Caenorhabditis elegans: one gene and its partners. The protein of the gene in region 3 interacts with the protein of the main gene of each other region in a pairwise test. Each region holds a gene or a part of one and is shown on either strand. Other genes may lie near its edges.

Region 1 (5,616 bases), on a different chromosome or scaffold from region 3:
GGGCTCTGATAAGCAAAGAGACGGCAGAGAGACTCGTGAAGGGCTTCTGGAGCAATAGTAGCTGCATGTGATGGACACTATTTGGAGTCTCCACCGTTAATCCCTTTTCTATTCCTGGAGGGATATTGGTGGGAAAGTGGATAGAAAAAGATAAAGCCTATGTTACACTAAGTTTATATAGAAAAGAGTTGAGCACAGATAGAGAAAAAGAGAGGGATTTGTTGAATTTAGATTTGGAACAATTGAAATAGTGAAAAACTGTTTTGCAAGTTCACAAGTATCCTGAAATTCATTCGTAGAAAATCTACATAGAGAATTGTCACTTTACTTTTGCAAATTTACAAAAACTGTCCTGTTGCGCTAAAACGGTAAAAACTGTAATGCCGCAGAGTAGAGGTCTCATTTGCAGTGATTTAATACATTTTCCATTTTTCATAATTTTCATTCTATTTAGAGACACTTCACTTTCAAACAACAAGGTTGCAACGGTGAATCTCTATATTTATAGAGATTTGTCATTCCATTCCCCGTAGATGGACTTTTCCCGTTTTTTTAGGTCAAGAGAAAACGGAGCACTATACTGCGGATTTGATGTTGTGTTAAAGGATTTGAGAAGTCTAGTTCTTCTGATTATTTCCTGATTTTGGCCGTTTCAAATTGGTCACACTCTTCCAATAAGCCTGTGGATGTACAAAGACTTTTATTCATTTTTATTCATTCAAAAGAATGACAAGAAAATTAATAAAAAGTGAAATGAATTTAACATTTCAAGAAAAAGGAAATTATGAAAAGTTGGTGACTGGTCCCCACAGTTGAAGATTGTAGATCAGCGCTGAAAAATAAAAAGTTAGTTTTTGAATAAAATCAAAAAAAGCTCGAACACTTACATTTTAAAGGAATTAGAAAATTTAATCAGACTCTCCAGCCATCAACTCCCAGAACTCCTCGAACTCAATCTTTCCGGAACCGTCCTCGTCAATCTCGTCGACAGCCTCCTCGAGTTGTTGATCGGTGAGGTCATCGGCGATTTCTTTGAGAAGAGCCTTCAGAGTTGGTCGAGAAATATATCCGTTACCCTGAAAAATTAATAATTAAAGAATAAAAAGCAAAATCTAAAAGTACAAACCTCCTTGTCGAAAAGACGGAAAGCTTCACGAAGTTCTTTCTCCAATGTTTCCTTGTCGACAGTGTTTGCAACGGTGTACACGAGAGCGCAGAACTCGTCAAACTCGAGCTTTCCGGAACCGTCAGCGTCGAACTTGCGGATCAGTTTACGAAGGGTCTAAAAGAATGAAGTTAGATGCCACATAGATTTAGAAAAATCAAAATCATCAATTCTATAACTAAATTTCATAACATATAGTTATATCTTACTTTAGTCGACATAATAAATGCTTTTGTTCAGATGGAATATCAAAATTAATTATTTCACAAACATTAGTAACATGTTTTAGTGGCGAAAATTAATTGAATTCAGTTGAGAAACAAGCCGCAGAAGATAGGTCGGATAAAAACAAAATTTTAGGCAAGAGTAACCCATTTATATTTTCGGTTATCTTACTCAGTTGGCCTACCTAATCATTACCGTGAAACCTAAATTTAAAAGAGTTGAAAACTTCCTAATTTGAATTATCACTCTTCTGAAGATCCCCTAACTCTACATAAACCAAAAGTTCCAAAATGATTTACCTTCTCATCGAAATCCTGTTCCATTCCATGCATGATTTGACCGATCTGAGTGGCCATGATGTATCCTTGCTTTCCTCTGTCGAAGGCATCGAAGAACTTTTGGTATTCTAGAAAGTTTTAATGATGATTTTTCAATCATAAATATAAAATATCTTACCCTCAATTTGGGATCCGTCGATTTCAGCAAGAATCTCTTCGATATCCTCAGCCTATAAAAGTATAAACATATAAAAATTCAAAAAGAAATTTATTGAAGACATGAGAAAGCGGGACTCACCATGTTGTCGGAGTTTGTTGTGCTCTGGATAAGCTTCGTCGGGCAGAAGCAACGGCGGGAGCGAGTAGGCGGAGGAACCCGAGGGCGGGCTTTTCTTTCTCACAACGGCATCATCGTCTCCTCCACAAAACACATTCTTGGTGTTACACTGGGTGACAGATGCTCCTGATCAACGGGCATGAGAGATCATAGAGGGCGAAGAGACGCAGAATGATATCTGTGTGGAAGTTGACGATGATTTTTGCGAAACACAGGATTCGAGAGACAAGGCTCTCCGAGAAGGAAGGGGAAACGGGAGGAGAGTACGAAGAAAGATTGGGGGGACAGGCAACCAAGGATCAATAAAAGTCCAGGAAATAGAAAAAAAATAATATAATTGGAGTAGAATTAAGTACAGAAATGGAGTTGACAGGCAATATATGTAATTGAACTTTCCCAGAATACTTGGATTCTTAGCTGTACATGGTGACCAGAACATCTAGCCTTTTTGGGCTTCAGAACACAACAACGTTTTTTTTTCAGTTTTTTTAAATGTGCACTGAGTATGTATATCTTTACAGTTTTATATCAAACGTTTAATTTGAATACTATTTTATAATTCTCAAGTTTCTCCAGTAACTTTTTATCGCGTGACACACCATTTTGAATTTAAACTTTATGTTTTTCCAATTCAGTTTAGTCGAGGGGGAGGAGGTAGATTTCTAATCATTCTTATTTATCATTTGACACTAAATTTCCGGATTTCAAAAGGAAACCATAATCGTGAGTTTGGAGCTAACAAGTAACTTCGGAAAACGTTATTTCTTTTGAAGAAGAATGTCGAAGAAAAAAGTGCAGAATACGAACAAAAAGATGAAAGAATGTTGGCTGACACCGATCCCACAGAATGTGGAAACTGTAAATATGACAGTTTCATTCAAGATTGATGAAAAAGATGTCGGAAAGCCTGCGAATGAAGTTATTAGAATTAATGAGAATTCGATGGTTTCTTTCCTATCAACAAACTCGTTTTACAATGGATTGATATTGAGTAAGTTTCCAACGGCCGGATAACCCGAAACTATTTTGAAGCGGGCCAACTTCATAACAGAATCTTGCAACTTCTTACAAACCATTATTTACTTTAGTTTTCTAACAAATTTCTGCAGCTTTTCAGATGACTCTTGCAATTTCTTTTGGCAAACTTTATGAAACATTTCGCTTAGAACTGCTCCGGTTTTTGCAACTTTGTAACATCTCTTGGCAATTGTTTATAAATGTTTGTTTCAAGTTGCAAGAGTTTGCTATGAAGTTGTGATGTTTTGCCGAACAAATGTATATTTATCCCCGATAAAATAATAGGCAAAAATTGGTTTGACTGGTACAAGGGTTTCAAAACTCTTCTGTCCACAATTATACATTTTGAGCCAGGAAAAGTCAATTTTCCTCGGAAGACTCCCTAGTTTCTTTTCCACTTTACACTTTTCCAATTAATGTATTAAACCAGTTTAAAAAACTAGATTAAAAATACTTTTCTTTCAGGCGACAAAATAGTCAAGGTGAACGGTGCCAGTGGAAATATATCCAAGTATCAGACAGAGCTCATGAAAGGTGAAACATGTAGTGTTGAGGTTACAAGACGGAAAAATATTATCCCAGCGACCAGAGAACGGTTGAAGAAATCGGGATGTGTTTTGAGACGGGACAATACGTGCTTTGTTATTGAAGTTGAAAAGGTATAATTGAAGAAAAATCGACATGATTATCTTATTCGAAAATATACGAAATCTGAACTTTGCAATGAGGTTTTGAACGGAGTTACAGAATGACCAATTAAATTCTAGAATTTTGCATGTTTTTTGAGTATGAATTGTTTTTAATTTAAAAAATTAAAGACGAAATTATGAAAGTTTTTTTGACGAAATGTGACGAACTGCTTGTTGCTTGACAACAAAAATTCTCATAAAATAATTGTTTAAAATAACTTTGGATTATACCTAGAACTTATGTCCACCCCTTAATAAATACCATTTACTCCAGACTTCCGCAATGAAAAGTGCAACGGTTGGAGTTACAGTGACATATATTCAAAAACGTGGCATAGTAACTCGAATCGAGCCCAGCTCACTCGCTTCGATATTCTTTGGTCGTGGGGATCTGATAATGGATATAAATGAAGAATCCATTCTGAACGCAGAGAAAAATGACGACTTCATTCGTGAGAAACTGTCGGGAATTTTGAAAGGAGAAAAAGTCACATTTTTGGTTGAAAGACCGGTTTCTGTGGAATCTGCAAACACTCTTCGTCATTTGATTGAGTCAGTTGCTCCAGATCCAGATGTTAAGATGGCAAACGACGCGATATGTATTGGTCGGGTGAGGACTTTTTCTTCAAATTGTACCGGCTGAACGTTTGCTTGGAAAACCGGCGTCCGGTTTTGCAAGATTTAGGACGATCCGTATGCTGGAGCTTCAACAAAAATATTATTATTAAAATAACTAAACACTGGGTTTCTTAAAATCAGAAGTATACAGTAAGCCTGAAACTTGAGAAATTGGTCACCTCAGTTTCCACATCTACTCGGTAAATTATTGCTCCGAGAACATGAATAACGCGTGTTTAGACCACTGGATTGCAATCAAGTCGCCGAATTTCAAAAATTCTTCTGGAATAAATCTCTAGTCGTCACCCGCCTGCACTTTCTGAGCAGCTATTTGTAGAGTAATTTAAAGTGGAGCCAAACTAGAAAATATACAATTTCATACTTTCTTAACAAGACATACGCATTTTTCTTTCAGAATGCAAGCAACATGCACTATAACGTTCTGAAAAAGTTGCAACCAAAAAGCATTTTAAGTCGGGATGTCTTCAAAGGGAAAAATCCTCGTGAAAAGAAACCTGGCAAGAAGTTGAGTAAAGAAAAGGATAACACAATAAAAATATCGGTGAGTTCTTAGCTTAATTTGAAGGTTCAACATTAATATTCAGACTGCAACATCCACGGCAAACATTTCAACGGATGTGGCTGAAGATGAAATCGATAATTTGAAAAACGTTGTTACCAAGAGTCATGCAGTTAGATCGGGTGATGAAGAGGAGGAACGTGGAGCTTTTGATGATGAATGAGTATTTGATCTTTATTTTTCTGAAAATGAAATTTTATTTATTGGTTTCATATTTTGTTGAACATTCTTGGTAATGCTTGTGCTTTTGTGAAACGATAATAGTAATTGTTTTACTAACAAATCATTCCATGCTGAATAAATGAGATGCGAATTTCAGCTGATCGGGATAACCTTGTATGCAACAAATTTTGAAATATAAAATCACATAATGCTGAATTGACAACTATTCCAAAAATATTCCAAAACTTTGAAATATTTTCATTTACAGTGAAAATTGTCTATTACTCGGCTTCACCTAACATAATTCTAGAAGTCTGTGGAAAGACCAATTGTTTTTCCTGAAGTTTTTTTAAATTTTAGTACGTTCTATGTATTTGTACCTAAACATTCTAGGTGTTCGAATCTGCGGTGTTCTATATCCCTCAAAATTTTTTGTCGCAAATAAAACCTTTTCGACCAATCAGTGCCTAGCCCCTCCTACTTGCTAACCAATTATCGAAGTGCCCTAAGAAAGTCTGTAACCATCGCCCGCTCTTTCCATTTTT
Region 2 (4,082 bases), on a different chromosome or scaffold from region 3:
AACAACATCTCAATAGAAAAATAGTGGAGGAAAAAAACAATTCGGAAGAATATAGAAATTTTAAAAAATAACATGATTTCAAATATAATTATTTGCACGTAATGCATAACCAAAAAACAATCACATACCTGACAGCAGTGGAAAAGGCGATCTGCCGAGGTGCAGAGACAATCAAGCGCTGTCCAGATCGGTTCATGGTTTCCCAATTCTACAAAAAAATCGATTAAATCGTGTGAAACTGCTTCAACAATTTAAAACATTGGCTCAAAGTGCCCGAGAGAAAACAAGAAAAAGGGAGGGATATTGTGTTGTTTCGGAGGAACAACTGGCGAGAGACGGAATGATGAGGAAAAAACGAAAAATCAATATTTTGACAGTGTAGTGAATTCCGATTCTTATCAAAAGTTGATTTAGCTGAACTTTCAAAGAACGATCAGATAATAAATATGGTTAGAAAACCAGGTATGCAATCAAATAAAACTTTTTTTTTTAAATATGAGATAATGTTTAATCAGGTAAATAACTCGTCAACAAAAACAACAACAATGGTCTATTATCGGAGATTCTAAATATTTAAAAAATTTTGAAAATTAATGTTGATCTGGATTCTCTCTAGCTGCTCGAGCCAATGGTTGAACAGTTTGAGCGATGATGTAGGTGTTGCGTTGTGTACGGTTTCCTTGTTCGTCCTTCTGTCCTCCAGAATAATGAAGTCTCCCCTGAACCATAAGACGGGATCCTTTCTTGATGGTTTTTGAAAGGATTTCGGCTTGCTTTCCGAAAACTGAAACGGCGTGACGTTCAGTTTGATCGAGAGTAGTTCCGTCTTGCTGCTTGAAGTACGAGTTGGTGATGATATTGAAGATGAGGTAAGGTTTTCCGTTCCTTCCAGTCTTGTACAATGGATCCAAGGCGACTCCTCCGACTAGTTCCACTTTATTCACACTGAAATAGTGATAATAAATAAATTTTGAATCGATATGATCTGAATTCAAAATTTGTTTTTTTATGCTTTCAAAATTGAAATTGTATCTTTCACAGCTATTTTACAACAATATTCGAACGACTTTTTAATAAGTAATTTTTATTGTCAATCGTTGCGTTTGTGCTTTTGAAAATTGTGACATTTTATTTTTTCTAGCAGGAACTTTGATACAAATTATTAATCTCCTAGTTCAGAAAAATGCAAGTTTAACATTTGTGTAAAACTCATATCATACCTGTATGCATGCCGTCTTTGTTCTGGGTTATGATGTTGTGGTTTTTCAGCGAACAAGTCATCAACCTGAAACAGACAAAAATTTCATAATTGCACAATTCGCTGTTTTTCAACTTACCTCTTGCTTGCTCGGTTGCTCAGCAGCCATTTTGGATGTCAATGACATACAGCGGACGGTAGACTTGGAGATCGTGGAAAGTGAACGAAGCATTTTCTATAATTTTGGTTTATCGATTGAGCAAAATATGAGTTATTTTTAAAAATTCAATATTAAATGTTCAACGAAAAGATTTAAACATAGTATATACATTTTACAAATAAAAACGGGCTCAAAACAACTGTTAAATATGGAAAAGCAAAAATAAAATTGCATTTTTTGTGGGCGGAGTTGAATCGCGCACTGTTGCAAGCCTGGCACGCGATTTCCGCAAACACGCCGCACAGTTTACTCAGTGTTTCTCTCGCTTTTCTCTTGTCATCGGTTTATTTTTATTTTTTAAGTTTCACTGCAAAAAACCACTTTATTTCTACAATTTTATTGATTCAAACCAATAAAATTTATCAAAATTCCGTTAAATTCAAAATCTTATTTCGGATTTTCCTATATTTGATTGTTATTAGATGTTCATTCTAAAACTACTAAAAAGATATTCATAATTCCAATGTATATGTTATTTTAATTATTCCCACGAATTATCTGTCATATTTCGAACTTAATTTCCTAATTCAATTAAAATTGAGATAAAATCTTGAAAATTAAGAAATTAGAAAAACATTCTCAAAATAGCATGTTATTAACGGTTTCACTGTCCTCGAACATTAAATTTTCTAAAATGACCTTAGTTAGTCAGGTCAAGTACAGAACATAATGTCTGCGTCTCTTTCAACTCAAGACTATCTCTTCAAACACCTTCTTACAACGTCGGCGTCGATCACAGCCTCTTCTCGTTTTTTTTGTCTTCCGTCTGCATCGCATACCGAAGAAGGTTGTCGCTCCACTCACATGTCCTGCAATCATTTTACGAGCATTGTCACACACATCTTCTATGACGACTGTTTTGCATTCATTCATAAACCCGTATTGTCTTTTCACGCTTTTCTTTGATCAGTTAACCTGTGTTCTGCTCATTCATGCTCAAACATCACTATTTGCTCTTGTTCACTTCACTTTCTTATTGTAAATTTTCAGAGCTTCTTCACAAGAAAACTTCGTTATTGGAATTGTATCAAGGCGTATTGCTGACTGTTTGGTACGTTTTTCACCGGCTTTGAAAAAAAGTTTAATAATTCTCTATTCCTTTTTTAGAATCGAAGAATGGTCGGCGGCGGTCGAACAGGCATACACTTGCTTCTTGGATTCCTTATAGGTGCCGCTCTCGCGCTCTTCTTCTTTTCATCCACACCAAGTATAGACTTGACCAGCTCATTGGCTGCATTTACATCATGTCAGAATCAAGAAACAGAAACGAATGTTCTTGAACCATCGGCACTGGAGAAAGGGCGAGTATATAAAGATTTATCTGAGCATTGGATTGTGAGTAGCTTTAAAAAAAACACAAAATTTCATGAAAGAATCAAATTTAGGTTCACCAAGACGATATGCCAGCGCCTCCTCATAATCAAGACGCTACTCCAAAGGTTACAAGAACTCGATTTGCAGCCACTGAACTCGGTACACGTGAACGAGTTATGGCCGCAGTGATGGCTGAGTCTGCATTGGCTCTTTCTATTAATGCAACTCTTGGGCGCCATGTTCCACGTGTACATTTGTTTGCTGACTCTTCAAGAATCGACAATGACTTGGCCCAGTTAACCAATTTGAGTCCATATAAACTAAACGGACAAAAGACGCATTCGATGGTTTTGGGTCTCCTTTTCAATATGGTTAGTTGAGTTGTTCAAAAATGTTTTTTTATGTAGTTGTCAACTACTCGTATTTCAAAAAAAAAAGTCATAAAACTATTTCAGAATCAATTATAATTGTCAATTGAATGTTTTTCAGTAAGTTTACCCCATGTTGTAAAGTCGATTTTGGTGTAAAAATTCCCCTGTTCAGAGTATCTCAATTGTTCTTTTTGGCTTCTTCCTGTCGGAGTTGCATTTCCTGATTAAAAATAAAATGTTTTCAGACAGTCCACAACAACTATGACTGGTTTCTACTTGCCAAAGATTCGACGTATATCAACCCATTCGTTTTGCTCAGAATGATTGATACGGTATTTTATCCAGTAATTGTTTTTGTAAAATAGTTGTTAATTGTCAGATGAATTGGAATGAACCAGTTGTGATGGGTGAAGCAGCTGAAGATGGAAGTGGACGATGCCGATTGGATACTGGAATGTTGCTCAGTCAGCCAGCAATGCATGCTCTGATGAAGTAAGCTTTAAATCAAAATTTTCACATTATGATAAACTGAAAAGTGTTTTAAACTGAATATTTTCAGCAATCGGAATGCTTGCAACAATTTCGCACTGGCAGCCGATGACGATCAACTCGCATTTGAAAAGTGCATTCAAATCGCAACAAATTTGACATGTAAGCCGCTTCATCAAGGAGTTCGTTATGAAGTTTGGCGAGGAGCCGAGAGAGCTGATTCGCCAGCTGCTCATGACTCGATTGAGGACTGGAAACATTCACCAGCATTTAAGAGAGCTCTTGCTGTGCCAAGATTACTTTCTGATGCAGATGCATCTGCACTTCATGATTATTTCGTTCGAGTTGAAATGCAAAGAGCTGATCGAGAAATTATCAAAATGGAAGCTGAACTTTCTCGTCTGGCTGAGCAAGAAGCTCGTGAAACAGGAGAAGCTATCAGCTGGCCACCAGCACTTCCACCGTATGCAAAACCACCAAATCGGTATCA
Region 3 (6,399 bases):
ACCAGCTGGAACCCCAGGAAAGCCAGGACGCCCAGGAAAGCCAGGAGCACCAGGACTTCCAGGAAACCCAGGACGCCCACCACAGCAACCATGTGAGCCAATTACCCCACCACCATGCAAGCCATGCCCAGCCGGACCAGCTGGAGCCCCAGGACCAGCAGGACCAGCCGGAGATGCCGGAGCCAACGGAAACCCAGGAGCCCCAGGAAACGACGGACAACCAGGAGCCCCAGGAAACAAGGGACCATCTGGACCAAACGGAAACCCAGGAGCCCCAGGAGCCCCAGGACAGCCAGGACAAGACGCTCCATCCGAGCCAATTACACCAGGAGCACCAGGACCAGCTGGACCAGCCGGACCACAAGGACCACCAGGAGCCCCAGGACAGCCAGGACACGATGGACAACCAGGAGCCCCAGGACCAAAGGGACCAAATGGAAACCCAGGAGCCCCAGGAGCCGACGGAAACCCAGGAGCCCCAGGACAAGCTGGAACTTCCGGAGGTGCCGGAGAGAAGGGAATCTGTCCAAAGTACTGCGCCATCGACGGAGGAGTCTTCTTCGAGGACGGAACTCGCCGTTAAATTTTATGAGAAATTCAACAATAAAATATTCTCTATTCATCAATTTAATGTGTTTTTTTGTTCAACTTCAGAGAAAATAACTAATTCAGAACAAGAAAATTTCGTCACTAGTAATTACGCAGCAAGAATAACGATTCCATAGATACACAATTATTCTGTACAAAATATTTATTAGTTTTAGTATAAAGAAACAATATTCTTAAAAATGCTCCTAGTTCGAAATTTGGAATGGTTTATCGAATTATTACAATGACCTGAAAAGCCTAGAATTTATGCTATCAGTAATGCTGATTTTTCAGAAGAACTGATGAGCTTAATAGACACAAATGCCTTTTGAAAATAGAAAGAGAACTGTGTTTCATGGGTTACCAAACTTAGTAAATTTTCTTCTCGATGCTGTTTGATCTATCTTGACCCAAAAACTTTAGTAAGACAGAAATTATTTTAACAAAAATATCAGTTGTGTGCTTTGCTTTTTTACATCGTGCTCTCATGTACTGACAGACAATGAGACGTGTTCTTATAACGTTTTGTTCACAGTTTTCAATGCTTACTTTAACTTTTCTGAATACACACCGCACAGAAAACTAATGATTTAAAATGGCCTACATGAAGAGTTCCAAAACAGAAAATAAAAATTGAAAAGTCATGTTTTTTCATGCCAAAATAGTCATTTGGTTATTTTTACCATCGATTTCTTTTTTGTAATTAATATCCGTATTTAATGTCACTAATATTTCACCGAGCTCTCCCATTATTTGGCCCATACACTATGTCAATGGTCACCGCGAAAGTGAAATGCGCCACCGCAAACGAATGTGCGTCAGCAGAAAATCAATAACGCGGGTGCCGTGTTGGTCGACGTGTCTCTCGAAAGGAACTAATTCGAACCAGTTTTTTGTAGAATTTCGTGTTAAAACTTCATTTTTGATTCTTCAGGAATTAAATTGCACGTAGATTTGTAACTGTTTTAAGTCGTTTCATATATTCTTCCTTATGTTTCAAATTTAGTTATATAACCTATATTTAAATTGCTGTATTAATTCACAGTGCTAGCCAAAGAAGCAACCTTTTTTGGTTTTTGATATTGTTGAGAATGATTAAAATGAATTCCGAAACTATTTCCGAAACTAATTCAGAAGCTAATTCAGAAGCAAATTATTTTTACTTTTGTATACTTGTTCAAATAAGTTAATTATATTCACTAGTACCAAAAAAAGCGGAATTTCTAGAGTATATTATTATTATAGTTAAAAAATGAAACAGTAAATGAAAATTATTTTACTTCAGCAACCTTTAAATACAAAAATAAATATTTTGTTAGTTATACTTCTGATAACTAGGTTACGAGTTATACTTTTGAATAATTTGCAACATTATCAAAAAACTGAAAGTGAATATATTTTTGGCATGCTCCTTATACCTAATCAGTTTATTAACTTTAAAAAACGATTTTTCATCCATTATAAGACTTCTCAAGTAGTGTCGGAAGATTAAAAAATTTTAGAAAAAAAAGGATGTGTTCGGAAAACTTTTTGAAAAAAAAACGTGAGACGCATATTATTGCGTGAGATTAAAATGTGAGCTTTCCACGTGGGTTCAGCGCCTCTCCGTTACGTGGAACGGGGTTTCTCTGTTTCTCTCTCCAATCTCTCGCAGAAAATTTATTCTGGATTTACAAATTATTTAAAAAGTTTTTGAATAATTTTACGTCATCCCTTTTTTTAAACTATAATTTTCAAATTTCTTTTCTTCTCATTGTTTCTTCACGTCCTTGAAGTATACTGTCACTTTTTAAATACGTTAAATACAAATATAATACTTTTCAGAAATGGAGGACAAAACCTCCAAAGAAAAAGAAAAATCGGCCGACAAACGGATCGATGAACGGGTTCATCAACAACTGGTGTATAAGGATAACCGAATTATAGATTTAAATAATGTGATATTGGATAAAGAAAGGCAAATTTTGGACTTACAGGTGAGAATTATTCTGTTTCTGTGGTTTCATATTGGAGTTGTATTTAGGAAAGAGTTCGTGAGCACAATGAAGTTGCTTCAGTCAAAAATCAAGCAATGAGAATTGTTCAACAAAAATTTGAAGAAATGAATAGAGACAAGAAGGATATGTCGACAGAAACTGAGCCTTCTTTGATGGCTCATTCCTCAGTACCATTATCAAATTCAAAGAGTGAACGGAGAGCAAGAAGTTCATCTCCAGGTCATGTCATTGCACAGAGAAGTGAGTAAAGTTTTTTGGTTAAAAAAAAATGAAGTTGTCATGCACCATTTCTGAATATATATGACGTTCAGTTTTATTTTTAGAATTTTTTTATTATTCCCAAACAGGAAAATTGCTGATCTTAGACGTGTTAGGACAACTGTAACCTACAGTAATCTAAAGGTAGCTTGCCCAAGTAATTTGTATGCTCCTCTTTTTCTTGAAAATAAGCTCGAAAATTGAGCACACGGCTAGAAATTGAAAATTGTGACGATATAAAACTTTTTTTTAAAGTTTAACGGAATTGAATTGATCTATTTTTCAGAAACGATGGTCTCAAGTTCATCGGGAACCTTCTCTCCTCCACCATTGGATCCTCCATTTGATCCATCTAGCAAACTGAGCGCTCTTCCAGATATTGACGGAATCCATAGGAAACATCAAAGAAAACGTGTAACTTTTGATTTAAATCCAAATGGTTCTTCAATTGGAACATCAACATCTTCCAATTTTCCATCTACATCTGTTTCCCGCTATCCCACCATTTCAATGTCTTCTTCAACTTCAGACGCTCTCGAGTCTGCTTTAACAGAAGCTTCATCTGAAAATGCTTTACTCCGTCAGCAAGTTATCGAACTAAACTCATCTGTTGAAAAAATGAAAGCAGACTATGAATCTGAAATTCTCAAATACACAAAAGAGGCAAAAACTGCTGGACTCAAGGCAAAGGTTGCGGCGACTGCAAGAATCAAGGAGTTGGAAACTACACTTGAAGATATCAATGGAAAATATGAAGATGAGGTAAGTGAAATAGATGAATATATCATTTTGTATAGAAACGTTTCCAATTTTCAGAGGGATCGTCTTCAAGAAGAAGTTGACACTCTCCGATCTTCTCGAAATTGGGAAATAGAACAAAATGCTCTTCTTCGTGATCAAGTTGCTCATTTGAAAGAAAAAGTTCACAAGTTGACAACAGAGTTAGATGCTAGTGAAGTAGCCAAACGATCCTTGAGCTCAGAAGTTGACGAATCTAAAAAGCTGATGGAATTGATGGTTGAAGATCTCCTTCAAGCTGAATCCGCTATCAACTACAATCAATGTCAGAAAAAAGCTATTTTTGAGGACATTGACCGATTGAAGGATGCCATTCAAGCACAGGATAGATTTATTGAAGTTCTTGAAGCTGATATTGTCATCTATGAGCAACATATTGGACTTTTGAGAGAGAATTTGGGTGCTTCACAGGTAAGATTTTTATTTCCTGTTGAAGCTCATTTTTTCCATAAGAAAATCTTTAACATCTCGAAATTTCTAGTCTAGAGAAAAGTCAATTGAAATATCTATAAAAAAGAAAAAGTATTATATTTATTAACGGAAAAATTCTGGAAATATACGTTTCAAAGTTATGTAATTAATCACACTGAAACCCGTAGTTTAATTGACCAAAATCAAACAGAAAAAGAAACTGAAAAATATTTCAAATAATTTACAGGTCGATCATCGAGCACTGATAAAATCAAAAGCTTTCGAGACGAAACTATTGGCTTTGGAACGCGAAAAAGAGCAAAGTGACAAGAAATCAAATGGTGAGACGATAGGAGACTTTTTTGTAAAGAAAAATGGGATAAGTATCATTTAAAACTTCTGATCAAGTATCAGAATAATCGGAAATATTTACTTATGAAAATTACTTAAACGTAACAAACCCCTTTTGAAACCCTGGCGAAATCAAAAATTCAAAAAATTAATCCACAATTGGTGCAGTTGATAGTGTGGTGGAAACTGTAGAATCTGTGGATGATGCTGTCATTGCCGGATTACGATATGCAGCAAAACTAGCTGGAAGAGCCGTTTTTGTAGATTCGTACAAACGGAAGTTGTAGCCCAATCCGGGAGTTCTTGGTAAAATAGCACGGGTTTCAGTACGTTTAACCACCTGCAACATTTGATTTATTAAAAACGAGATAAGACATTAGCTATTGCAGAACACCAATACATTTCTTTAGAAATTATAACTAAAGCTCTCATTTTCATAAGAACTAAGCCTTCTAATTTTATTTTGAAAGAAAAAACTCACATCACATTGACATTGTGTGCAATAGTATGTTTTCCGTTTCATGCAGCAGTAGATTCCACACGGAAAGCAAAAAATTGCGTATAAAATTGCTCGCCAACTGAAACGGCTTTTCACTTTTTTCTGAGTGCAAGCCGGACATGACAGATTAGAAGATGTAGTGGATGACATGATGGTTTTGAAGTTTTACATCTGAAATTTAAGCTTTAAAAACTTTTTAAAAAGTGTTTGAAGAAGGTGTGCAGCAGTTTCATATCTGGAAGCTCATACGTGCTTCTCCGTTTATGAGAATAAATTATGCCTAAACTCACTTGCCACATCGAATCGTGTTCCAATAATGCAAAAAAAAATTAATGTGGGACGCAGCGTGTCAATAATCGATGGGAGAGAAAGGACAAAGTATCCGCTCGACTGCCACCTCACTGTTTTCGCCTAAAGTATCACAATCAACTAAAGATAGACATAGAGAGAAACGGCACGCAGATATACAGACAGACAGGCAGACATATAGAGAAATTAGAGAAACATTGTTTTGTGTTGACAATACAAGAGGTCTGATGATAAATTGGTCAGTGAAACAGAGAGGAACACGCCACCGCAAAACCATGACTAGTTTCTAGGAAAACGCATGTTTCTCAGAACTTATTGCCATTCGAATGCGTTTTCATGAAAAGGTTGTTTAGAAAAAACATAGAAAAAAGATGAATCGTTCAAATTCCAAAATTATATAAATGAGAATGTACTACTAAAAGGAAATTCGAACTTTAAAAAAATTAGGAAACGAGTGTTTAGGAGCCTACCACATCAACATCAAAATATCTGCTTGATGTGAGTATAAAACTGCTTTAAAAAAATGTTTTCTGCAGTTTTCTATTGTCCTCGTGAAATTTTTCAAATGTATAGAATTCAATTTATATAACAACTAGGTTTTTATAACATGACTAATCACTTGTCACCACATTCCAGTCGTACAAAAATTGGGGCAAAATCATTGTGTCAAATTGATTAGAAAAGTGTTAAAAGACATACAGTAAAATTAATTTAAAAGTATTAGTAGAGAAAATGAGAGAAAATCAATGTGTATTTCGATTTAAAATTAAAATGAAAGTCGAGGGGTCTTTATGTGATCACCACCAATTGTCAACATACACTGGGAGACGGAAAATGAAGAGAAAGAGAGTCAGCTGCTTTTGATCAGCAAAATTTTGTGTTCATCGTTGTGTTGACCTTATAAACATAGAAAGAATATACCGAATAATATTATGCCAGTGGGAAAATAAATTTTGGTTTTCGAAATGTTTTTCAAGCTGAAATTTGTTTCATTTTTTTTTCAAATAATCAAATGATAGTTGGTTTAATTTAATACCAGCAACGCCAGATTTGGGATTTTATATAAATGCGAGTTTTTTTTCAGAAGACCGTCTGAAAACAAAGGCACTAGACAAGAAATGTCGTGTTCTCGTCGAGCAAAACGAACAACTCATGGCTCGTCTTTGTGAGCTTGAAATGTCGCACGGA

What was found. The genes of interacting proteins can lie anywhere in the genome.
Region 1: the proteins of T28C6.7 (region 3) and C46H11.6 interact in a two-hybrid assay, tested with the Caenorhabditis elegans proteins (one large-scale study listed by BioGRID).
Region 2: the proteins of T28C6.7 (region 3) and mtss-1 interact in a two-hybrid assay, tested with the Caenorhabditis elegans proteins (one large-scale study listed by BioGRID).

What each region holds. Positions count from the first base shown.
Region 1 is NC_003279.8:5,018,095-5,023,710, forward strand, and holds C46H11.6 (PDZ domain-containing protein), read left to right. Parts: upstream 1-2,685; 5' UTR 2,686-2,728; intron 2,729-2,778; 5' UTR 2,779-2,782; coding exon 2,783-2,996; intron 2,997-3,487; coding exon 3,488-3,681; intron 3,682-3,985; coding exon 3,986-4,321; intron 4,322-4,744; coding exon 4,745-4,891; intron 4,892-4,934; coding exon 4,935-5,072; 3' UTR 5,073-5,116; downstream 5,117-5,616. Other genes in the region: pat-10 (EF-hand domain-containing protein), read right to left, coding at 909-1,076, 1,127-1,282, 1,690-1,796, 1,847-1,898, 1,967-1,969.
Region 2 is NC_003281.10:8,765,662-8,769,743, reverse strand, and holds mtss-1 (Single-stranded DNA-binding protein, mitochondrial), read right to left. Parts: upstream 1,434-4,082; 5' UTR 1,431-1,433; coding exon 1,338-1,430; intron 1,286-1,337; coding exon 1,221-1,285; intron 946-1,220; coding exon 591-945; 3' UTR 501-590; downstream 1-500. Other genes in the region: Chondroitin sulfate synthase mig-22, read left to right, coding at 2,535-2,753, 2,804-3,103, 3,349-3,435, 3,483-3,595, 3,663-4,082.
Region 3 is NC_003282.8:8,825,390-8,831,788, forward strand, and holds the start of T28C6.7 (Kinesin motor domain-containing protein), read left to right. Parts: upstream 1-2,414; coding exon 2,415-2,564; intron 2,565-2,611; coding exon 2,612-2,825; intron 2,826-3,129; coding exon 3,130-3,605; intron 3,606-3,659; coding exon 3,660-4,052; intron 4,053-4,159; exon of another isoform or gene 4,160-4,299; coding exon 4,300-4,393; exon of another isoform or gene 4,394-4,551; coding exon of another isoform or gene 4,552-4,743; intron 4,744-4,884; coding exon of another isoform or gene 4,885-5,052; exon of another isoform or gene 5,053-5,073; intron 5,074-5,192; exon of another isoform or gene 5,193-5,338; intron 5,339-6,295; coding exon 6,296-6,399. Other genes in the region: col-3 (Nematode cuticle collagen N-terminal domain-containing protein), read left to right, coding at 1-583; T28C6.8 (Membrane protein BRI3), read right to left, coding at 4,552-4,743, 4,885-5,052.